Linked DNA regions of Mus musculus. Each later gene encodes a partner of the first gene's protein in a complex. Links are inferred from orthologs where the notes say so. Each region holds a gene or a part of one and is shown in the gene's direction. Other genes may lie near its edges.

Region 1 (7,828 bases):
CTCTGCAAGAGGAGCAAGTGCTCTCAACCACAGAGCATCTCTGCAGCCCCAGTGGAGAGTTCTTGCCTGGGCATCCAAAGCTCTGATGCTGCTTTATACTCATGTCCTTACGACCCAAGGGCTCTGCTTCCTTCTGCATGTGTAAAAGCTGACATTGGCAGTGTGATCTTAACTTCTGATTTCCTTCCAGTATACCTGAGTCTGTTTGAATTGCTTGTGTTAACTGAGTTTTGGTAGACTAAATGACATAAAGTACAGAAACTTATTTGTATAATTTTGGAAGCTGGGAAGACTAAGGCTGAGGTATTGACCCATTTTGGTCCAGTTACAGCCTCCTTCCTGGTAATGACCTCATATGGCAAAGGGGGATAGGGGTGGGGGGACTCAAGTTTTCCTATGTCTCTTCAGAGGGCACTTATTTCAAGACAAGGAATTCATCCACGTGCTAACTACCATGTCGAAAACCTGTCCCTTGTAGTGTTTCAACATGAATGGTAAGTGGGACACAAATATCTGGTCCTAGCAATATATAAAGTTGAGCATTTTTTAAAAAATAATTTTATTTATTTTATTAGAAATGCTAGCATTCCTAATCTGTAAACTGTTTTTCTTGTTTTTTAAAAGATTTATTATTATATATATATAAATAAGCACACGATAGCTGTCTTCAGACACACCAGAAGAGAGAAAGTCAGATCTCATTACGAGTGGTTGTGAGCCACCAAGTGGTTGCTGGGATTTGAACTCAGGACCTTGGGAAGAGCAGTCAGTGCTCTTAACTGCTGAGCCAAATCTCCAGCCCTGTAAACTGTTTCTTATTTGTTTGGTTTTGCTTCTGTGCAGCATCCCACCCCCCTTTTCCTTCCCCTTATGACTTGCTTAGACTGTGACCAGCTCATAGCCTTTTGCCTACGCGTGTGATGAGTATGCGTGGATTCTGGGTGTGATGGACCATCTGACTGCTCAGGTCTCAGTAATACCACATGTGTGCATAAAGTGTCGGGCAACTCCCCCTTGTAACCCTTCCCCCAATAGCATCTTAACGGAAATGTGTGACCTTGGCTTGAGGTCAGCAGGTCAGCAATTAGGATTTGCTTTGGACAGATTAGAAAATGAGGCATAGTTAAACTTTGCTGGGCAGGGTCACAGCTAGGTGTAGCAGAGCCAGCTCCTGGCATCCTCTCCAGAGCCTCCTGAATTCAGATAGTTCAGGAGTTGAGCCACTCAGTAACTGGGACCTTGGGGATGCTATTGCACCCCGATTCTGAGGACTCTGTGAAATGACCTATGTGTTCGGGCCACCTTCATTCCAGGGTTTAAGGTTTGTGGTAGTCTCAAAACTCCATTCATATGTCAGATTTGTGCCCGCTTTATTTTGCTTCCACCGCTCTTTCCAGCGTTTTACTCTTCCTTTGTTTCTTGGAGACAGTGTGTAGACCAGGCTGGCCTGGAACTCATAGAGATACGCCTGCCTAATTCTACCTCTTTCCAAGTCAACTTTCTCCCTTTCTCTATTTCCACGACGAAAAGTCCTGGAAGGCAGTCTCCGGCATCAGCACTTCTCCCAGTCCCATTACTCTCTGAAGAAGGGATGCTGGTTATTATTGACCGCTTGGAGCTGGAGGAAGGGCCTGCTCCCCTCCACATAGCCCAGTGTGAATGTGGCACCTAAGAGCGCTGGGATCATCTATGTAAGGAATGCCTGCGTGCACGCACAGAGTGGGCGCCAAGGGCTCCAGCAGCCGGGATGCTTTAGGAGCTCAGCGCTCGGGAGGCAGTGAGTCCCGAGCCCTGGCTTCCCGATGCCTGGGTTCGAATCCCGCGACCCCGGGCAAGCACCTCGCTCGCTGCCTTTGTGTCTCTTTGAGTCCTACTCCTCCGCCCGGTGCGCTGCGGCAGGCAGGCCGGCGGGCGGTCGCGCGCGAGGTTTCGAGGAGGAGACACTCCTCGGCTCGCTCGGCCAGGCCGGGCCGGCCCACGCCGCTCCTCGGGGACCCGAGATGCTCCCCCAGGGGGGCTCGGAGGCCGCTCCGGGGAAGCCGCGGCCCTCTTCGGCCCGCGCCCGACGCGCGCCCGCGCCCAGGGCGGGGCGTCCACGCAGCCCCGGCGTCCCACGGCCGCCCGCACCTCTTTCTCTTCCCTCCCTGGCTCCGTCACCCCGCTCCGAGAGGGCCGCGCTCGCTCGGCTCAGCAGCGCCTCCCGCGAGCCACCACCGCCGCCGCCGCCGCCGCCGCCGCGGCCCCTCCCCCGCCCCCCGCGCGGCCGGCGCCCGTCACGTGACGCGCCGCAGCCAATGGCGGGCCGAGCCGCGGTCGGCGGCCGCCATTGCTGTCAGAGCGAGCGAGCCCGGGGAGGGAGGAGAAGCGCGGCCGACTGGGGAGGAGGGGGGGGGTGGGGAGGAAGAGGAAGGAGGGGACGGCGCTCGGCTGCCGGGGTCGCCCGCTGGCTTCGTCCGCACCCCCCCCTTCGCGGGCTCGCGCAGCGGCGGCGGCGGCGGCGGCGGCTCGGGGCGGCTGCGGGGCTCGCGTGCCTCCCGCGCCGGCGCGGCCGAGGGCGAGTCGCCCGCCGGCTTGGAGATAAACAAGGCGGCCGACGAGGCGGCGAGGCGGAGGCGGAGGCGGCGGCCCTGCGCGACAGAGGCGGGCGGCGTTGCCGGCCCGCGCCCCCCGCCGCCGCCGTCGTCGCCGTCGTCGCCACCGCCGCCCTCGGGCCTCCCGCGCGGGCCTCGCGCCCCTGGTGCCCGGGAGCCGCCGCCGCCGCCGCCCGGCCCGGCCCGCTCCGACATGCCCCGCTCTGGCGGCCGGGCTCGCGGAGGACCATGACCGCCGCGGCGAACTGGGTAGCGAACGGGGCGAGCCTGGAGGATTGTCACTCCAACCTCTTCTCGCTGGTGAGTGGCGGGGCGGGGGGGAGCCCGGGTTGGGGGGCGCGACCTCCCCGCCGCGCAACTTTCTCCTCCCGGAGCCCTGGCGGCGTCGGCGAGCGCGGCGCCCGGCGTGGACGTGCGTGGGGAAGTCGGGGCGCTGCGGACGCCGGGGCGCGCTCGGAGCGCCCACCTCCGTGGCAATCACACCCCCTCCCCTCCCCTTCCCCCCTTATTTTCTTTTTTTTTCTTTTTTCTCCTCCTTCCCCGAAATGTGGAAGGCTTTTCTGCCTTGTGCAGCCGCCGGCGCGGGTGAGCTGCAGGCTCGTCCTCTCTCTCTCTCTCTCTCCCGATCGGATCGGCTGCTCTCCCACTCGCCGGCGTCTGCCTTCTGATTTTTTCTTTCTCTCTTCCTCTGTTTCTCCGTTTTTTTCCCTTTTTTTTCCTTTTAATATTTCCACAATGACACCTGCGATTTCGCCCGAAAACAGTTGATGGAAGGCGATGGTGTCAGGGAAAAGGACTCTGGCAGCCGGAGCTCGCTCGCGCCGTTGTAAACACGGACAGCCGCCCGCCTCTCGGGGTTTACTACGCCGGAGAGCGGGAGAGCCATTGCTCGGAGCCCACGGAAGGTGGAGGAAGCTGCTGCTCCTCGCTCTCCTCCGCTGCCTTTAAAAACTGTTTTCTCTGCTTTAACAAGGAACACACACACACACACACACACACACACACGAGCAACAAGCTGGGCGGTTTGATAACATCGCTTTTATCTGCCTTCGCCTCTCCTCTCTCCCGCTCTCGCCTCTGATAATTGACAACTTTTGCTTTGGAAGTGCATCGCCTGCCTTAATCTCGAACCATTTAGGGTGTCAATTGTTCTTCTGGAAGCCTGGCACCGGGCGACGGCGGCTCGATTCGTCGAAATTAAAAATGTATAGAGCTCCAGCAACTCTTTCCTGGCGGTGGCAGTGACATTTGGTGGTAAATGCCATCTTTGCTTTTTATTGGGTCGTATTACCTAGCTCTGAAAACATTCGCGTTGTTAAACCCGGCGCTTACGCTGATAATGGGAGTGCATGGTCTTTAAATACGCGCTTTGTGCCTGAGTTACTGTGTGTGTGTAGCTATGTGCCCGGGAGAGTACGAATTTGTTTAAATATTGAGCAAAGATTTGTAAACAGATGTAAGGCAATTATGTTTCAAGCGTAGAATATAATTGGAAAATTGGTTGAACGGCCTATTTAATTTAGCCTTAAAAACTCAACTTATTTTAGTTGTGTGCCCAATTTTGGTGGGGAGGGTGCTGGGGGGGAGGGTGCTGACTTTTGGAGAGCATGCATTTATTGCAAATTATTTTCTGGAACCCCTGCTGCAGATAGAAGCTTTATTTCCTTTTAGTCCTTGTTTACACTGGATAAATAATTTAGTGTTCAAATTGTAATTAGTTACATTTAATTATGGGTGGCATAGATGCTTTTTCTCCCCTTGGAGACTAGTGGAGAAAGAGGAATTGTTGCCAACTTTGGAAGTGTCATTCTGTTTTCATGCTGATGAAGAAATCAAGCATGATTTTGGCCTACAAAGACACAGGAGTGACACAGTCCCCCTGCTCCCACTCTTGTAAGCAGGCTGATTCCTGATCACCCCGAATTTTATCCTGAGGCTGTTTCGAGGTTCAGTTAGAAGTTGGGGGTCCTTCCTTTTACCCCTGTGGTAATTTACCGTTGATCTTTTGATGTGAGGATAAAACTACTTCTGTCTCTTTTTTCACCCCCCCCTTCCCTTGTCTGTCATTTATTATTAGGTTCAGGGACCTTCATAGATCAGCAAATGTATTGACTAGGCGGTATTTACCCCCCCCCCCAACCAATTTGGTGACTGGGTGACCGCAATGACACTTTTATAGGTAATTAAAATAACCAAGTCAGCTGGTGTTAGCTGGGGAGAGCTCCCACTTGCTGTGCATCAGGCTGAGAGCAGTGCTGCCTGTGTGCATGTGGCTAATGTATACACAGTGTGTTGTGCAGGCAAATGCATGCCTGCTGACTGCACAGCTCCACTCTCAGCTTCAGGGATCTATGGGGTAGAGATGAGATGGTCCGGATTCTTTCTTTAATTTCTGGACTTTGATTTTGACTGCATTCTGGGTATTTCTCCGCTTAAACCAAAAAGTTGACTTGAATATAAAGTACAATTAACTTTTTTGGGTAACTCCATTGAAATGCAGAAATGGCTTAGATTAGTTTTAAAATGTAACGTATTTCCTGATACCTCGAGGTAGGTAAATGCTGTCTAGTTGTTTAAGAAATTTATCTTTATTTTATATGCATCGCTGTTTTGCCTGCTTGTGTGAGGGTGCTGGGTTCTTTGGGATTGGAATTAGAGACCATTGTGAGCTGCCACGAAGGTGCTGGGAATTGAACCCAGATTCTCTGGAGGATCAGTCAGTACTCTTAACCCCTGAGCCATCTCTCCAGCCCTAAACTTTCTTAGAAAACCAAGCCAAATAAAAGAGACCCACGGAAAACCAAAACCAAGAATAAACTGCCAACAGTCCTTTATTCGGATTCTTAATTGAGAATTTTTTTCTGAAGAGCATACACACAGCAGCAACCTATCTTACTTATTGAGAATACATTGCGTAAAGAACATTGTATAGAATAGTTGATTTCAAAGGAGAGGCATCCTTTCAAAATCTTTTTTTTTTTTTTTTTTGTCAGAACTCTAGGTACCTAGCATTTTGTATTTTTGAAAAGTTTGGCCTGCAGTTTTGTTTCTGAGTGCAGAATAGTCACTTCTGGAACACTACCCACCCACATGCTCCTGTTAGCTTGGATGGAGGTGTAAGCTGGAGCCGAGCCCCGAGGGAACGCGACCCACTACTTCCTGAGATCCTGAGGCCATCGCCAGGGCTTAGCAAGGCTGACTGAGCAATCAGGCCTCTTACGATTCTTGTTCCTAGGCTTTGACTGAGTTTGTTTTCTGATACTGCCTGGAGTCCTGTTTCCTACTCTTGCTTTTCTGTCTCCACCCCCACCCTAACCTGTGAAAGGCCATTGGATGGCTGTGATATGGGCCCTTGTGCTGTTTCTCTCTTCCTCCTGTGAGATTTGTAGCCACTGCAGGAAATCCATGCCTGGCTGGGCCTCTGTGACACAAAACTTTTCTCATGGTGGCCATCAAATTAAGTGTGCTAAATCTTCATTTTTGGAAAATGTAACCGTGTACCTTGTGGCACTGAACTCACCCTTAAGGGAAGACACATCCTAGTTTCCAGATGCCCAGTGTATCTTTGTGTGTTTCTTCTGAGATAATGTGGAGAAAGTGACTTGGTGCCCTTTAGGCTAGACTTAAGTATGCTGGGTACCGGGACAGGAGGGGACACTTCTAAGTTTTAGATTTTTGCTCCACATTCATGTCTGTTTTGCTTAAAGTCTCCCTGGCTGTAGGTAGCTGAGCAATGCTGTAAATCCTCACTGAGTTAAAACCCATGTACACCCTTTAGTACTTAAGGTCCTACTGAGGACCATTTATTTTGTATCTGAAGCTTTTAGGGTAATTTGTTGCAGACAGAATTTCCTTTTGTCTTATGGGAGAAAAGGAAGGTGGTTGTAACTGTTGAAAACTTGAGCTGATGTGAGTAGAAGCTGGTGGGGAGGCATGTGGAGTGGAAACCGGGAAGAAGGCGTGCCAAGGTTGCAGAGTGCCCAAATACTGCACAAGGTCTTTTTCTTCCCAGTTTGCAGTTTTAGTATTTAAAAGAAGTGTACATTTAAAGCGTCTTTTTCATGATGGTTCATTTTCTTTAATGAAAATATTTATAATATGCCAATGTGTTTCCTGTTTAGCATTTGTTGTTAGTAGCACATGGCCTTATAGTATTTATATTTTTTTAATGGCAATAATTGCTACCCGGTAATGGTTGCCATATTAACCTCCAATTGCTAGTAAATATTTTTAAGTACATAATAGACAGCAATTTAAGGCATAGTGTAGCAGTTTACTGGACCGTTTTAAAGAGCCATTTGTACATGTGATGAGTTCATAATTTAAGGAGAAATAATGTACCTGAGATCCATATGTGCCAGAGGCCTTGCCCTGCTCACTGGGAAGCAGGCTGGACCCATTCATTGCTTTCTCTTTGTGTTCAGGACAGGAAGTGTTTGTTGAGTGTGAGCAGGTACTCTGGTGGTTTTGTCTTGGATGCGTTAGATGATTTATATTGAAAAAAAGTCTCTCAAGGTATTTCTTTAAATACTGTTAGCTCATAGTTGTGGCTTATGCTAATTAGTATGGAAAATTGATCTTTTTTGTTCACTAGCTAATTTAGCCTAGTTAATTGTGGGCTAATTGTATTCATCAAACACTTTGAGGATCTATACTCTAAGATGAATAAAGACAGAATTGAGATGGAACTCTGTCTTAGGATGCACAGGGATGCTGCAGCTGATCTGAATGGGGTTTTTATGAATAGTTAATTCGCCTATCAAAGTTTGATTCAGAGATAGACTAGATATTTTTGAAGCCTTTGACTTATTTTTCAAGTGAAGATAATAATATTGTTATTTAAGCTACTACAGGTACTGTGAAGAGGATGACATGTTTATCTCACAGGAACTGGCCAGTGAGAGAGATTAGATAAAGTTTATGAAAATTAGAAGGTGGTTGGACTGTAGGTGTGACTGGTGACCTGTGCTTTATGACCATTTCTTAGAAGCACAGAGAAGAGGTTCTCCAGCACTGTTGCCAGCGTGCTTTCTGATGCGCCCAGTGCCTATGGATGCACTGGATATAGATTGTGGACGGTGCCTGCATCAGGATCTCTGGTCATTTTAGAGATAATTTTGTTGTTGCAAAGAAATAACACTCAGTGCATTTCGAGGGGAGTTAATCAGGTAGCGTGAATTAGATAGCCTGTGGGGGTAGCTTCCCTTTCCAACAAGACAAAAAATGTAAAACATGCA
Region 2 (7,622 bases), on another chromosome or scaffold:
AGGAGACAGTCACTGACATTTGTGTGGTGTTTTGTTGTTGTGATCATTTGCTTTTTGTATATGAGTGAACCCTGCATCATGGAAGTGACTCTTGGGAGCTGATGACCTTGTTTTTGAAACAGGATTTGACTGGGACCTGGGGATAGCTGATTAGGCTAGACTGGTTGCCCAGTAGGCCCAAGAGATCTGTCTTCTACACTGTAGCTCAGAAACTACAAGCTGCTGTGAGTGGAAGTCAGGGCTCATGCTCTCTCAAAGCATGGACCTCACCAGCTGTGAGCATTATCTTATCCTGTCCCTAGCTTGTGGTCAGACCTGAAACAGAGACAGACCAGACAGGACGCCATCAATCTCTAGCTGCTGAATGGACCACAGAGGTCACAGAATTCAAAGCACGATGTTTCCACAGTGATCCAGGGGAGAGACCCTGGTAGCTTAATCAGGGAGTGTCTCAGGTGAATGGAAAGTGGTCTGGCTCTGAAATACTCTAAAGACAACATCACCAGGATTTACTTTGAAGTGAGAAAGAGGAAGCCTGGACTCTGACTGGAGCAGTGGAGCTAATGTGCTAACAACCTCCAAGTAGCAAACAGAGAGCAAGTTTGGGAAGGAAGTCACAACTTCTGTTTTAGATGCAATCTTCTTCTTTTATTTTTTTTTTTCCTTCTCCGAGACAGGGCTTCTCTAGGTAGCCTTGGCTGTCCTGGAACTCACTTTGTAGACCAGGCTGTCCTTGAACTCAGAAATCCACCTGCCTCTGCCTTGTAAGTGCTGGGATTAAAGGCGTGCGCCACCACTGCCCTGCTTGGACGCAATCTTACTAGAGTTAGATACTAGTATTCAACTTGGAGATGTCAGGTAGACCACTGGATATAAAGATGTGAGCTTTCTTGGACGAACTCTGAGGGAGAAAAAACTGGAAGTAGCTGTCAAACAAATGGCCTCAAAGTGAAATTCCCTGACGACACCACAGAAGGACCGTCAAACCTTGTCTTGGTCACCCAGCAAGTTCAAGTCCAGCCTGAACAACTTAACGAGACTCAGTCTCAGAGTTAAAAAAAAAAAGTTATTTTAAGGGCAGGTGTGGTGTCACCCACCTATCATGCCACCACATGGAAAACAGAGGCAAGATCAGGAGTTCAAGGTCAGCCTCCCCTACAGCATTAGATGCCATCCCAGGCTCCATGAGCCCTTACTTTAAAAAAAACTAAAAGAAACAGAAAAAGCTGCTGTAGGCCCAAAACCATGTTCAAATGTGTCAATATTGCTTTTTAGGAGAAATAAGAATGGAAGATTAAGCAACTGGGAGGTGAACAACAATTCCTCCCCAGTGAGACAGGTGGCAGTACCCACCCCTCTTCCCCCTTTTAGCCCGTAAACAATACTGTTTCCCCTCCCCTGTCGCTGGGACAGGGACAGTCCCCACTTGCTTTTCAGGTCTTATTCGAAGGACATGAAATCTGGGATACCCACCATGTAGAATTAATGTTCATCTGCTTTTTTGTTTAAATAGAAATATCATCACTTTTTTCCTCTCTCTTGAGAGACAGGGCTCGTTAATCTGAAATTTACTATATAGCCAAGAAGGTCTTCTGCCTTGCTTCTCGAGTGCTGGGATTACAGGTGAGCCTCGCCACTCCTGCTTGGAATATGTAACTCTATTTAATGGGTGCCTTGAGCTAGACTTCCGGTGTTATCAGGAGGAACGAATATCTTATTTCTGTATCAAAACTGCCTAAAAACTTAACACAGCTCAAAACATTATGCAGGCAGTCCACAAATACTTCAAACGCCCAGAGGATAAATAAATAAATGCTAGACCACCAGGTGGTGGTGGTACCCGCCTTTACTTGGGAGGCAGAGGCAGGCAGCTTTATGAGTTCGAGGCCAGCCTGGTCTACAAAGTGAGTTCCAGGACAGCCAGGGCTATACAGAGAAACCCTGTCTCGAAAAAAACCTAAAATAAAATAATGCTAGAACTGGTGTGAGAGATCACTTTTCGTTGGCTTAACTCTGAATTCTGGAATTCAGGAGTGGAAGTGGAGGAACACGCCGGTAAAGTATTCTGATGGGGTGTCAGACCGGCCCAACTCACGACTCCACCCCTTGTCACTCACCCAGCCGCGTGGCGCGCTCTCGCGGTGGTGCTGACCGATCACCAGCCCCATGGTCAGTTTCGAGCTCCTCCTGCTGTTGTCTGGCTTGCTGCAAAATCCGTCTGCTTAGCCGGGGTCCCACATACTCTTCCTCCTCTTCGACCTCACGCCCCCGCCGTTTTTCTCGGGTCCCCGCGCGCACTGCGTTCCCAGCCAGGATCTGCTCGGCCAGAGGTGCATGCTTCTCCCGATTGCTGGCCCCACGTGTCACCTTGAATTTGGGCATTTTGGCCGAAAAAATTGCCCACCAGGTTCACACGTGTGAAGCCGGCTAAAAAGCCGATACTGCGCTTGCGCTGTGTGTTCCGATCGCCAAGAGGCCACTGAGAGATCACAGTGCCCCCCAGCGTTAGGAGGCCGGAAGTTCCTCATCTATTACTCTCAGGAAGAGCTTCGGGACCTATAGCAGGAGCCCCCAAATTCTCAGGTAATCTCATTAGAAAGGTGGATGTCCAAGTCACCCTTTTCCAGAATTCATGAAAGTAGCCTAGGGCGTCCTGTCAACCCGTTGGACGCCTTGGGGGCGGAGCCGAGTCGATGACGTTCTAGAAATGTCACCACTGGGTACCAGAGATGGCGCTCCCTGTGGGCGTGTCGCCGCGGCGCTCAGTATTTGCGCATTTCCGGCGGTCGATCAACGACTGCTTCCTGTGTTTAGGGGGCCGCCGTTCGCGTGAAGGTCTGGAGTCTCTGAGTTCGAGGGTTTGGAGGCGCCACCTTTTGATCCTTCGCTATGGGAGTGACGTGGTAGGACTTGAAGGGCTTCTGTGGTGACGGAGCATATAGGGTCGTGAAGGTGTCTGTGGGCCTGTGATGGCCCGGGGAAAGGGATTTTGACCGAGGTTCTCGGTTCCTCGGGGGGCTGACCAAGATGTCTTCCGGTTGTGTGGATGGGGGACACTGCGTGGGACTTCTCTCTTCCCAGACACACCCCTTTGGCAAAGGGAGCAGCGCATCCCTAGGACCCGCCAGGAGTTGTACCTTTTTCTTGGTACCTCTTCCTGTCCTTGAGGCCTTGTAGTGTCGCTACTAGCACCCAAAGGTTAGAAATAGGGTTTCTAGATTAGGAGTTGTTCGCAGAAAGGGATAAGAGTGGCGCGAGGAGAAAGTGACTTTTCTATTTTGCTTGCAGTTACAGACTTTGAATTGGCCATTTTAAGGTGTTGGGGCTAGTGACAGAGGTAGGAGGAAAGGAGCGGTTGGGAGTTTGGAGTTCGGAGTACCAGGCAGAGACAATTTTTCGAGCTGGGTGTCTCACTGTGTAGGCTTGGGAGGCCCGGAACTCACTCTGTAGAACAGGCTGGACTCGAATTCACAGAGATCCACCTGCCTCTCTCTGCCTCTCAAGCGCACGGATGAAACGGACGCGAGCCACCATCGCCTGGGCTTCAGACAGTTTTGATTGACTTTTATCTTAAACATGTTTGAAGTCTCACTTGATAAAAAGGCAGTTGGTAAGGTTTGGGCACCGTGCTTTTCTGGGTATTAATTTTAAAGTACTCGGCCTCAGCACTTAAAAGTCTTGGTAGTGGTGTGCTTCTTTCCAGTTAAAGAAGCTTGGAGGCCAGGGGCCACAGGTCTGCCCTGTGAAAGGAAGGCTCTTGCCACAGTTGACACTAGGAGCCTCATCTCATACTTCTACCCTACTGTAAAGAATGCCTGTGAGCAATGAAGACAGATCACAGCAGAGTCATTTAGAGTTCAGTTTCCCTGTTTGCAGTAAGTTGATACAGGACAGGGCCTTTCCTGGGGCCTTTGGAAGAGTCAGGCAATCCATCTGAGGGCTGATGCCTTTGATTCCAACATTTGGGAGGCAGAGTCAGGCAAGTTTCTGTGAATTCCAGGCCAGCCTGGTCTACCAAGTGAGTTCCAGGAACTCTTGGGGACTGATGGGTGGGGATCAGAGATGTCTAAGTAACTCCTAGCCCTGCTGATCCGTTACCTGTTGGGGAATTGAGTGGCTTAGCCAGAAGCTCTGTGTCTCTGGACCCTGCTGACTTGGCGTTGTGTTTCTCAGTGTGTCCCAGATGCCTGTGGCTGAGGGCAAGAGTCTCCAGCAGACAGTGGAGCTCCTCACCAAGAAACTGGAGATGCTTGGAGCAGAGAAACAAGGGACATTTTGTGTGGACTGTGAGACTTACCACACAGCTGCCTCTACCCTGGGCAGCCAAGGTCAGTAGATGGCTGAGAGCAGATGGGAGGAGCATGGCTTAGAGTATTTACGTTAATGGATCTGCTTGCTTTTCTGTCAAGGGTAGCGGTCCTGACTGAGGCAGGATGTGTTTGTGGCCTCATTCGTTCTTGGTCCATCTTATATTATGGTGGTCAGTTTGCAGTTTGATCTATTTGTTTAAAGATTTGTTTTTATTTTCAAATGTGTGTGTGTACAAGCACTTGTGCCCCTGTGTGTGGCTATATGCACACAAGTGTGGGTGCTTATGGAGGCTAGAGGTATCAGATCCTCTGGAGCTAGAGTCACAGGTAGTTATGAGCTTTCTGCTGATATGGGTACTGGGAACTAAACTTGGGTTCAAGGCCAGCCTAGGCTAGAGACTGAGAACCTTTCTTAGGAAACAAGAATTGTACACAATAACGGGAAGCACTTACTTCATTAAAGAATAGTGTTGGGGCTGAAGCAGCTCAGCAGTTGAGAACACTGGCTGGTTTTCTAGAAGCCAGGGTTTCATTCCCAGAGCCCATATGGCAGCTCACAGTTTTTGACTCTAGTCCTAGGGAATCCAGTGCCCAGTGCCCATAGTCTCTGGATACACTGTAGCTATACAGATGGTTGTGAGTCTTCATGTGGTTGTTGGGAATTGAATTTAGGACCTCTGCTCCGGTCGGCCGTGCTTGCTCAGGTCCAAAGATTTATTTATTAAGTACACTGTTACTGTCTTCAGACACACCAGAAGAGGGCATCAAATCTCATTATGCGTGATTGTGAGCCACCTTGTGGTTGCTGGGATTTGAACTCAGTACCTTCAGAAGAGCAGTCAGTGCTCTTGCTCGCTGAGCCATCTTGGCAGCTCACTCACATAGTCTTTGGCTGCCTTTGCAAAGTTTCAAGGCAGTACAACTTGATGTGGTATGATCCAGGTATGTAATTACAGTGTATAACCTGAGACAGAATAAGGTCAGCTTTGAGTGGCTCTGAGAGCTGGCATATTTTAAACTGGATTTTCAAAGCGATGAAAGATGTGAATTGGCAGTGTAGACAGAAGGGATGGGAGTTGGAGGTTCAGTGTAGAGCCTGCCTAATTCAGCAGGGGGCAGCAGAGAGGCCAGGGCAGTACAGGGAAGGCCCTGAATTGCTCCCCAATCCTGCAGTCTTTCTCCTCTTCCCATCACTACACTTTTTTTTTAAAAAAGGATTTATTTATATTTTATTTTGTTTGTTTTTAGACAGGGTCTCACTATGTAGCTCTAGCTGTCCTGGAACTCACTCTGTAGATGGGAGTGGCCTCAGATTCACAGAGATCCATCTCCTAGTGCTGGAACTAAATGCACATCATTACACCTGACTTTATTTTATTTCTGGGGCTGGGTGCTGTGGAGGGAAGTCAGAAAGGAGCTGGAGTTACAGGCCCTTGTGGACAACCCAGTGTGGATGGTGAACTCTGTTCTGTCAGAAGTGAGTGGTCAGAACCATTGAGCCATCTCACCAGCCTCTTGTTAGACTTTTATTTCTTTTTTTTGTTCTTGTGTTTTTGAGACAGAGTTTCTATGTGTATCCCTGGCTATCCTGCAACTCTCTCTTTGTAGACTAGGCTGGGATCACAGAGATCAGACTGCCTCTGCCTCCTGACTCCTGAGCGCTGGGATTAAAGGTGTGCACCCACCACTGCCTGGCTTTTGTTATGCCCTTAACCCCGCTAGAGTTTGTGGTTTTTCGAGACAGGGTTTCTCTGTATAGCCCTGGCTGTCCTGGAATTCACTCTGTAGATCAGGCTGGCCTCGAACTCAGAAATTCACCTGCCTCTGCCTCCCAAGTGCTGGGATTAAAGGCGTGCGCCACCACGCCCGGCATAGGATGGAACTCACTTTGTAGATCAGGCTGGCCTCGAACTCAGAAATCTGCCTGTCTCTGCCTCCCAAGTGCTGGGATTAAAGGCGTGCGCCACCACGCCCTGTGCTAGAGTTCATGTTATGAATACCATCTTTTCTCCTACCCTGTTGTTCAGAAATACTTCTCCATCCTCTTTCAAGTCGTGTTTTTCCTTTCATTTTATGCTGAAGTCTTAGATTTCTGGTTTTTCAGGTAATCACTCTTTAAAGTTTTATTTTGTATTAGTTAGATTTTTATGAGATAAGGTTCTGGGTAGCTCAGGCTAGCTTTGAACTTGCCTTGTAGCTGAAGATGACCTTGAGTTTCTGATGCTCCTGCTCCACTCCACCTCTGTAGTGCTAAGATAGCAGTACCATATTCAGTTTACCTGATGCTGGGGGTAGAACCCAGGTCCTTATGCGTGCTAGGCAGAGACTGTCATTACCAGACTCTATTTTGTGTGTGTTTGTGTGTTATGCATGTGCATGGCTGTTTTTGCCACAACATGGGTATGAAGTTTATAGACTCCAGCTCTCTGGAGTCTCAGCTCTCTTTTCCCCATGGGCCTCCCAGAGATCAGATTCAGGCTTAGCAGCAGGCACCTTTACCTGCTAAACTTGCCCATATTAGCTGTGCATGGGTGGTTTGTGGTTTGTTTTGATCGAGGGTGGAAGAGCCTGTGCATGCCCACACCGGTGAAGGCTAGCAAAGGACACTGGATGCTTTCCATCGCTTGTTTCTTCTATGGCTCTCTGCTTGATTGCCTTGAGACAGTGCCTCTCACTGAGCTGGAAACGTGCTATTTTGGATATCTGACTGCCAGTGAACTCTTAGGGTCCACCTGCCTCTGCTCCCCAATGCTGGAATCACAAACGTGTGTGTGTGTGTGTGTGTGTGTGTGTGTGTGTGTGTGGCCTTCCAGACTTTACCTGGGTTGTGGGGATTAGGATTTAGGTCCTTGCTGAGTTATCGTCTCAGGCCCCGCTTCCATTTTTAAAAGTAGACTTGTATATTTATTTTCCTATACTTTTATTCCATGTGAGTATGTGCATATATACCCTATATACATATGGGTATACATATGTACCCTAACAAGGGAGTAGATGTCAGAGGACAACTTGCACAAGTTGAGGCTTTTTTTTCCCCATCAAATGGGTCCCAGAGATGGAACTTGGGTTGTCAGGCTTGGTGGCAAGAGCTTTAACCTACTGAGTTATTGCCAGTCCTGTTTTTGATTGTTGTCAGACAGGGTCTTGTGTAGCCCAGGCTGGCTTCAGACTTGAGGCAGTCATACTGCATGAGCCTCCTGAGATCGCCTGCGCTTCCATGTGACACTTATTATTTGGAGACTTGGTGTCCTCGGGAAGTTCGCATCCATCGTCAAACTCAGCGCCCAGTGCTGGAATCACAGGCTTGAGCCC
Region 3 (7,724 bases), on another chromosome or scaffold:
TACCATTCACAAAAACTGAATAATCACCCTAGTTATTGTATCATTACAAACTGAATAAGCATGCTAACAGCTAAGGATGTGGTTTTAGGACAGCAAGACACAAAGTAACCTGATCCTGTCTAAGGTCTTAGAAGGATGGGAGGAAGGTCCATCAGAGCTTGCTGCTGGACGTCCCAGATGGAGGACAGACATCGGCTACTTAAGTACTGAAAGTGCACTGGAGCATTGAGCTGCACAATGCACGGCTTCCACTTCTCTACCTTTTTTTTGCTTTCAAAGCTGTTTTGGATGACCGCTTTTTCCAAGGCCCAGTTGAAGTCTGGTTCACCTGTCAGTTCTTATGGAATCCATCTTGAACCCAGGAATGTTGGTCTAGCCTTCTCGGAAAATTCCCGTTTATCTGATTGCTTGATGGGACCATTTCCAAAACCTCCTAAGCTTTTTTACATTTCAGATGTACTTCACCAGAACCAGAAGGCTGGCTTAATATAATTTAAGCAGGTAGAATGTTTTGCAAAGTGGGATCTGAGCGCCAGCTGCATCAGAATCACCTGAGCCGTTTATTAAAATGCATTATTTGATTCCTGGGTACAATCAGAGACCAACTGAATTCAGAGCTGACAGAGCTCAAGAATCTCCATTTTAACTAGCTCCCCTGGGGATTTTTCCGTATGACTGATTGAGACATTTTTTAATTCAGTTGTGTTTCATAGCATTCACCTCCACATGGAGCTTCAATCCTGACTTCCCTTGAGTCTGATGTGCCTGCCTTTTGAAGCAGTCTGATAAACAAGACAAAGCCAGGCTCTTGGAGTCAAGAGACCTGGATTCTGATGTGTTCTAGTACATGCTAAGTATGTGATCTTGCAGGTTACCCAACTGTCATCTAGGCTTTATTGTAATAGCAAGATAAGGAGATCTTTGCAGGGATACTGACATTAAAGGGGGGAGGGGAGTACAATGGTGTCGGAAGGCTATCACTGATTACGATCGTCGCTGAGGCCCACATACACCGATGCCAAGCTGGATAGTGATGCCAGGCACTGTGTTGCCACTCCCACCCACCCACCAGAGTTTCTTCCTGCTTCTTTAAGACTAAAGACCAAATTATTCTCTTGAGCTTTTTCTAAACCATGTGCTTTCTTCCCACAAAATAACGTCGATACCTCTGCCTCCTAACTATCCGAAGCCTGCCAGCATGATAAACCTTAACCTCTGGCATAACTGCGAGCTGAGCCTTCTCTTTCCCAGTCTCAGCCCCATCACCCACCACTATGGTAAAAGCAGGCCCTTCAGTGTTAAAGGCACCTTGGGGCAAATACTGGCTCTGCATGTTTCTCCATTCCTGAACAGGGAAAGCAAGAATGACAATTTCCTGAGGATTCTACCTGTGTTAGATACTTAGAGAACTTAAACTTCCTGGATCCCACCCATTTGTGGAAGGAGGTTAAATGCCCCACTAAATGTGACACTTCACTTACGCCTCTGCAACACCTATTATAATCCAATGTTCATTTAGTCCCCACAGCTAAGGAGTCTCTGTTTTACCCTCTGCATCCACCCTAACCCTCAGCACAATTCTGGTTGCAGAACAGCACTTGCTTCTTCCTCTCTTTTGGGAGCCTAGCCTCTCTAAACATCACCCTTTCTTCTTGGTATTCTGTTTCTACCCTATTCACTCATAGGGTTTTCATGTGTGTAGTTTATCACATCCTCCCCATACACGGGTGTGTGTACTCATACATTATACATATATAAGATCACACCCGTGTCAGAGTGCACGTGTGCAGGTCAGAGGACAACTTGTAGCTGTAGAGCGAGCTCACCTACCTGGGAGTTCTAGCCCCAATACTAGCTGCACAACTATGCTTCTTTTAATAGTGGCACCTCAGTTTCCTGAAAAGAGGGATGATAATGGTGTTTGCCTTATAGGGTTGAAAGAACTGGTAACAGTAAAGAGCTCAGAATTGTGGCTGGCATACAGTAAGAATTCGACAAGTAGCCATTGCTATTTGTATCGTTACGCACATGCATCAACCTTCCCTCCTACAAGGCTATCCCTCTGGGGTCCTGGACACGCTAGCCAAATTTGGTACCTCCTCGGATCCGCTCGTTCAGTTGGAAGGAGTAGTCCTAAGGTATCTTTGCATGGCATGACACCTCACCTGCTCTGACTTCAGTTGTCTGCTCTGTACATGACAATAAATACTGCCAGATTCCCTGCTGGAGTCTGAATGTCAAAACATACATATAGGGTTCTTTGCATCTAGGGGGTGGGGGGTGGGGTGGGGGGGCGGGTGCCTCGTCTGCCTTTTCTGCCTTAACTTGTGATCCCCAAGCCACATCACAGAACAAATACTTTTATAAAGAAGGAAGCAGGGTCTGTCCTAAGTTAAGACTGGCCAGAGGGTTGTAGGGCTTTGCCAAGAGCACGAACGCTAGAGCGAAATCAACTCATGCTATTGATTGCATTCCAATAGATGAGATACAAAAAACCCCGCAAAGTCGGTCAGCTTCGGCGTGGCACAATGAAAATCCCAACTAATAACCAAAACACGAGTTTTTATCAGCATCACTATCGCTAACAAGTCTGTGGATGGGCGACGAAGATCAGGATGGCATCTGAGTAAACAAAACAGCAACGGCCTCCTTGAGGCTCCGGAGGGTGAAGGCTGCCACACGCCCGCCCTCGGGCCTCGGCCCCGCGCCCGCCCATCCCTCACCTCTGGCTCGGGGCGCTCCGAGGCCATCACACAGCCCTCCCGCGCCGGCCCGGGCCAGGGAGGTTGCTCCACTCCTGACCTCTGACCCGGCTAGTTCTGTACCGGGCAGGAACCGGAAGTTGTTGGGATGGTCCCGTTTTGAGTTTTCTGATTGGTGAGCGCAGCAAGCCGTGCGAGAAACCGGAAAGGGAAGTGGTTGCGCCCGCCGGGCCGCGGCAATGCAGGTGAGAAGCGGGTTGGGCCTTATAGCCGCTGGCGGGAGGGTGATTGGGCTGAGGACACCGGGGAGTTGGGGCTGTGAGCGGAGGGCAGAGGAAAGGCAGCGGAGCCAGAGAGAGCGAGGCCAGCTGCGGGAGGCGCGGGCATCGAGCCCGCTGATGTGAGAAGGTCGGAGGCCCGGGGAGGAAAGGCGGACTTGATTGAGCGTGGAAAAGGATCGTGGTGGCATTTGGGAAGGCTCGGGAAAGTAGTGGGCTGCCGCACGCCTCGATCTAGGCTGTTGGACACAGGCGTCATAAGGCTTCAGAAGGCTAAAGGGATCGTGGGCCTCCAAGGATGAAAACTAAGCTGTTTGTAATTCGAGGCTGTGGGTGGAACCCGGTGTCCAACCCCCTCAGTCACATAGTCAGGTTTGCAAATCAGCTTTGCATCATTCTTCCCGGCTTGTACCTCGTTGCTAAGGGCGGAGAAGTGGGGTAAATAGTCCTCAGATAGTCAAACGGAAACCCTCTGCCGCCTCAGCGTTTAAAATTGTCTAACACTCAGAAACAATGTGCAGGTTTCCTCGCCTTTGTCTTTCATTACTCTTTCATTACTCACTTGGCTTGTTGCATCTGATAAACCTACACTGTTTATGGGTCACCCGAATTATGAAAGAGACACGGGAATATTGGCACAAAGATGCACGTTGACTTTCCAAAGCACCAAATGCTATGGATAAACGGCCAGTTGGGGGACCGGGAAGGGGATTGCAGAGCTGGTATTCAGAGAAAACCTTACAGAGAGGCAACGTGTGAGATTGTCCAGATTGTGTGGTTGACAGTAGCTACACTCACAAGAGGATGACCAGAGGCACCCATGATATAATGAACTTCGGGAATTATTTAGGCTGTGTGTGCAGATAGCACCCCTGTTATCATGGCAAACCTTTCTGAGGTGAACTGAACTTCCTGAAAAAAACAAAACAAAACTGTGTCAATGCCAACACCACAGAGTGACACGAGGGATTCTCATCCACCCAAGGAAAGCAGCGCAGTGACAATAAGCAGTCGTGAGGTAGGCAGGCCACATCTATTTTCCAGAAGAGGAACTGACAAAGAAGAGTGTGCAGAAACCTGAGCACGTTCCTATTAACCCTACTGCAAATCTAAGAGAATGTTGTCTACTGGGAGAGGCAGTGTTTGAGAGCTGGGAGGAGGAGAGCATGGAATTAAAAAGGTGCAAGGCTAAGTGAGTTCGAAGCCAGTTTTGTTACAAAGACAAATCATGAGGTTTCAAGCCAAAGAGAATTAGGTCTGGTGCAATGACCTTCTTGAAGGACCACAGTGTAGGAGGGTTATAGAGGAATCAGTTAGTAGGAGGACTTCAGGCCAGGTGAACAGGTTGAAAGGTCTAAGGGTTGATGCTATCTGTAACCCAAATACCAAGATAGAAAACAATTTAGCTTTTCTGAATGTGTCACGCTCACTTGTATCTGAGTAACCAAACACACTGTTGATGCAGAGGGAGGAGAAGCAGCTTGAGGCATCATTAGATGCCCTGCTGAATCAAGTGGCCGATCTGAAGAATTCACTGGGGAGTTTCATTTACAAGTTGGAAAACGAGTATGACCGGCTGACCTGGTAAGGATTGCCAGGACAAGCTGGGGAGGGATCCATGGGTGGTGGGGCCAAGCCCCCTGGCTGACAGGACATCTCCAGCGATGTACCCATTTATCAACTTGCAAATATCCTTTTTGATTTGGAAAGAACTAGGTTGCCCAACATTGACAAGTTTAGTTTGGCTTAAAGCCTCCATGGCAAGGAAGTAGAAAAATGTCCAGTTTCCCAACCTAGGCTGTTTCTAGGTTTTAATTCTTACGCTTTGGCTTCCTTAGTGAGGAGGCATTTCCTCAGTGGAAGACCATTATAGCTCCATTTATGGTGGCTCTCCTTCCACACATGAGGCTGGATCTGAGATCCAGCCTTCTGGAATGATAGAGTCTGTTACTACATTAGGGAGGAGGCTTTACAGACTTACTACAGTGTAACCACAGCCCCTGTTTCCACTGCTCCCAAACCCAGTCAAACAGTGGGTTGCCTTTTTTCTGTATCTATGTCAAAAATTGAAAGTGTGTTCCTCTTTCCCAATTCCATCTCTACTAGCAAATCTGGTTCTTGCCTATGCCAGACACAGGGCTGCGAGTCTTCGGGGTGAGTCTGAGTGTTGCAGCATTAGGACTTTTAGAGGTTACTTTGTAGGGAGAAGTAACTCTGGTGACTTCTCGCCACCTCCAGGCCCTCTGTCCTGGACAGCTTTGCATTGCTTTCTGGACAGTTGAACACTCTGAACAAGGTCTTAAAGCATGAGAAGACGCCACTGTTCCGAAACCAGGTCATCATCCCTCTGGTGCTGTCCCCAGACCGAGACGAAGACCTCATGGTAAGACACACAGTATCTTGTTGACTGGATCCTCTGTGTGGCCATGAAAGGTGAGGGCTGCCGTCTGGAAGACTTGTTTTTATCCTTCTGGGGTCAGGAGAGTCCCCCTTAAAGAATGAAGTGAAAATCAGGGCCTATCTCACCAAGTCCACGACCTTCCTTTTCCAACATCTATGTCAGGCAAAAAGAAAAAAGTCTGTCCTGCTTGCCTGTGACTTTGCTGCAGTCTTTAAAATGTGGGGTTGAGAATTTAGCTCAGTGGTAGAACAGACACAAAGTCCTGGGTCCCCAGAATAGGGGTGGAGGTAGAGATTCACAAAAGACCAAAACAAAACAGCAAAAAAAGACAATTTCAGTGTGGTAGTGGAGGGTGGGATTTAGCTCACCCTAGTTCTGATGGAGTGAGTGAGTGAAAAGAGAGTGTCACAGAAAGCTATCCCTACCTCCGGTTGTGTTGTCTCTGGAAATGCGTTTTCTGATGGAAGGGAAGTGGGGTTAGAACTGGCCTACTTGGATAGCACAATAGGATGAATCCAATCTATATTACAGCGTCAAACTGAAGGACGAGTGCCTGTTTTCAGCCATGAGGTCGTTCCTGACCACTTGAGAACCAAGCCTGACCCTGAAGTTGAAGAGCAGGAGAAGCAGCTGACAACAGATGCTGCCAGAATTGGTGCTGATGCAGCTCAGGTTGGACTGAGTCACTGGCCTGCTACCTCATCCTCATCCTTCATAAGCAAGACTTTACCAAGGCTGTGTAGGGGTGTGGGGTTGCTCACAGCTAGGCTGCCTGTGGAAGAGCACAACGAAGATGCTTCCCTGAATCATTGCTAATCACTAATCAATTCATGTGTGTTACAGAAGCAGATCCAGAGCTTGAATAAAATGTGCTCAAACCTTTTAGAGAAAATCAGCAAAGAAGAACGAGAATCAGAGAGCGGAGGTAAGGAGGGATGTGGCAGCACAGAGCGAGAGCTGTGTAAGATCACAGCACAGAGGGAGAGCTGTGTAAGATCACTAAATAGCAATGGCCTGCCCAATTGTGAAGTAAGGACATAAGAATGAACTGCTGGGGCTGGAGAGATGGCTCAGTGGGCAGAGGTGCCTGTTGCCAGGTCTGGCCTAAGTTTGATCCCTGGGACGGACCTACATGGTGGAGGGGGAAAGCCAACAAGTTGTCCTCTGACCACCAACACAAAATTAGAAGTTACTTTAAAAAAGAAGAGTCGGCTCCCCTCCTGAGCAGAGGCAGCCACCCTCTCCTGTCTTTCCCAGTAAATCTCTAGTGTGGGGTTTGTTGTGCCCTGTGACTTCGTAGTGGTCCTTGGCTCCTGAGCAGGAGGACACCTTTCCTCTCAGGACCAGAACACATTGGTGCCATGACTTGTGTAGGCTCTCATGGTGCCTGTGCTTCCCCTTGGGGTCTGAGCCACGCTGGGGGACATGGGAGCAGGGTGGGGGAGAAGAATGAACCGGTGAGAAAGGGATTTGTCTCCTGTTAGTAGTTCATCTTTACGACTATCCTTAAAGCACATAGAAGAAATAGACAAAGTAAAAGTTTAAGGCCGGGCGTGGTGGCGCACGCCTTTAATCCCAGCACTTGGGAGGCAGAGGCAGGTGGATTTCTGAGTTCGAGGTCAGTCTGGTCTACAAAGTGAGTTCCAGGACAGCCAGGGCTAAAGTGTTTAAGATAGGTTTGGGGACTTTTAGCTCTTTGATGGGGCTAGGGGGATTCTAGATATTGCTGCAGTCATAATTATAATGGGTTTAGTCCAGAGCTGGACACATACCTGAGGGCTCTTGCTTTTTTTTTTTTTTTTACAGGTCTCCGGCCAAACAAGCAGACTTTCAACCCTGGAGACACCAATGCCTTAGTAGCAGCCGTTGCCTTTGGGAAGGGGCTATCTAATTGGCGACCTTCAGGTAGCAGTGGTCCTGGGCAACCCGGTCAGCCAGGAGCTGGTACAATCCTTGCAGGGGCCTCAGGATTACCGCAGGTTCAGATGCCAGGTGCTCCAAACCAGCAGCAGCCAATGCTCAGTGGAGTTCAGATGGCTCAGGCAGGTCAACCAGGTAAGGTGACATGGACTGAGTGCACAGGAGTGTGGGAATGAGCTAGATCATCTAAGCCTCCTTCATCTGCACCCTCCCCTTAGACCTGGAGATTTGCCTCCTTTGCTTTGTCACCTCGAAAACAGTTGAAAGCTCTGCAACATGTACCAGTGCGTGATGAAGGACCCTGAGTAGCAGCAGCTGGTGTGGCTGTTTACGTCCATCGCAGACTTTGCCTCACCTGTCCTGTTGATTCTGGGTGTCAGTGTGTTAGAGAAATGAGAGGCCAGCCCTTAGTCAAGACCGTTC

What was found. The genes of interacting proteins can lie anywhere in the genome.
Region 2: Med13l (region 1) and Med20 share a complex: the UniProt entries of both Homo sapiens proteins name them as parts of the mediator complex. The link is inferred for Mus musculus from reciprocal best matches to the Homo sapiens genes MED13L and MED20.
Region 3: Med13l (region 1) and Med8 share a complex: the UniProt entries of both Homo sapiens proteins name them as parts of the mediator complex. The link is inferred for Mus musculus from reciprocal best matches to the Homo sapiens genes MED13L and MED8.

The regions. Positions count from the first base shown.
Region 1 is NC_000071.6:118,557,967-118,565,794, forward strand, and holds the start of Med13l (mediator of RNA polymerase II transcription subunit 13-like), read left to right. Parts: upstream 1-2,752; 5' UTR 2,753-2,819; coding exon 2,820-2,891; intron 2,892-2,895; exon of another isoform or gene 2,896-3,845; intron 3,846-7,828. UniProt on the Homo sapiens protein: Component of the Mediator complex, a coactivator involved in the regulated transcription of nearly all RNA polymerase II-dependent genes.
Region 2 is NC_000083.6:47,608,790-47,616,411, forward strand, and holds the start of Med20 (mediator of RNA polymerase II transcription subunit 20), read left to right. Parts: upstream 1-2,795; 5' UTR 2,796-2,889; coding exon 2,890-2,903; intron 2,904-4,173; coding exon 4,174-4,328; intron 4,329-7,622. Other genes in the region: Bysl (bystin), read right to left, coding at 2,118-2,382; Gm20517 (predicted gene 20517), read left to right, coding at 2,890-2,903, 4,174-4,328. UniProt on the Homo sapiens protein: Component of the Mediator complex, a coactivator involved in the regulated transcription of nearly all RNA polymerase II-dependent genes.
Region 3 is NC_000070.6:118,406,440-118,414,163, forward strand, and holds the start of Med8 (mediator of RNA polymerase II transcription subunit 8), read left to right. Parts: upstream 1-2,897; 5' UTR 2,898-2,941; coding exon 2,942-2,947; exon of another isoform or gene 2,948-3,110; intron 3,111-4,445; coding exon 4,446-4,564; intron 4,565-5,086; coding exon of another isoform or gene 5,087-5,134; intron 5,135-5,218; coding exon 5,219-5,363; intron 5,364-5,912; coding exon 5,913-6,053; intron 6,054-6,224; coding exon 6,225-6,306; intron 6,307-7,187; coding exon 7,188-7,436; intron 7,437-7,724. Other genes in the region: KICSTOR complex protein SZT2, read right to left, coding at 2,724-2,750. UniProt on the Homo sapiens protein: Component of the Mediator complex, a coactivator involved in the regulated transcription of nearly all RNA polymerase II-dependent genes.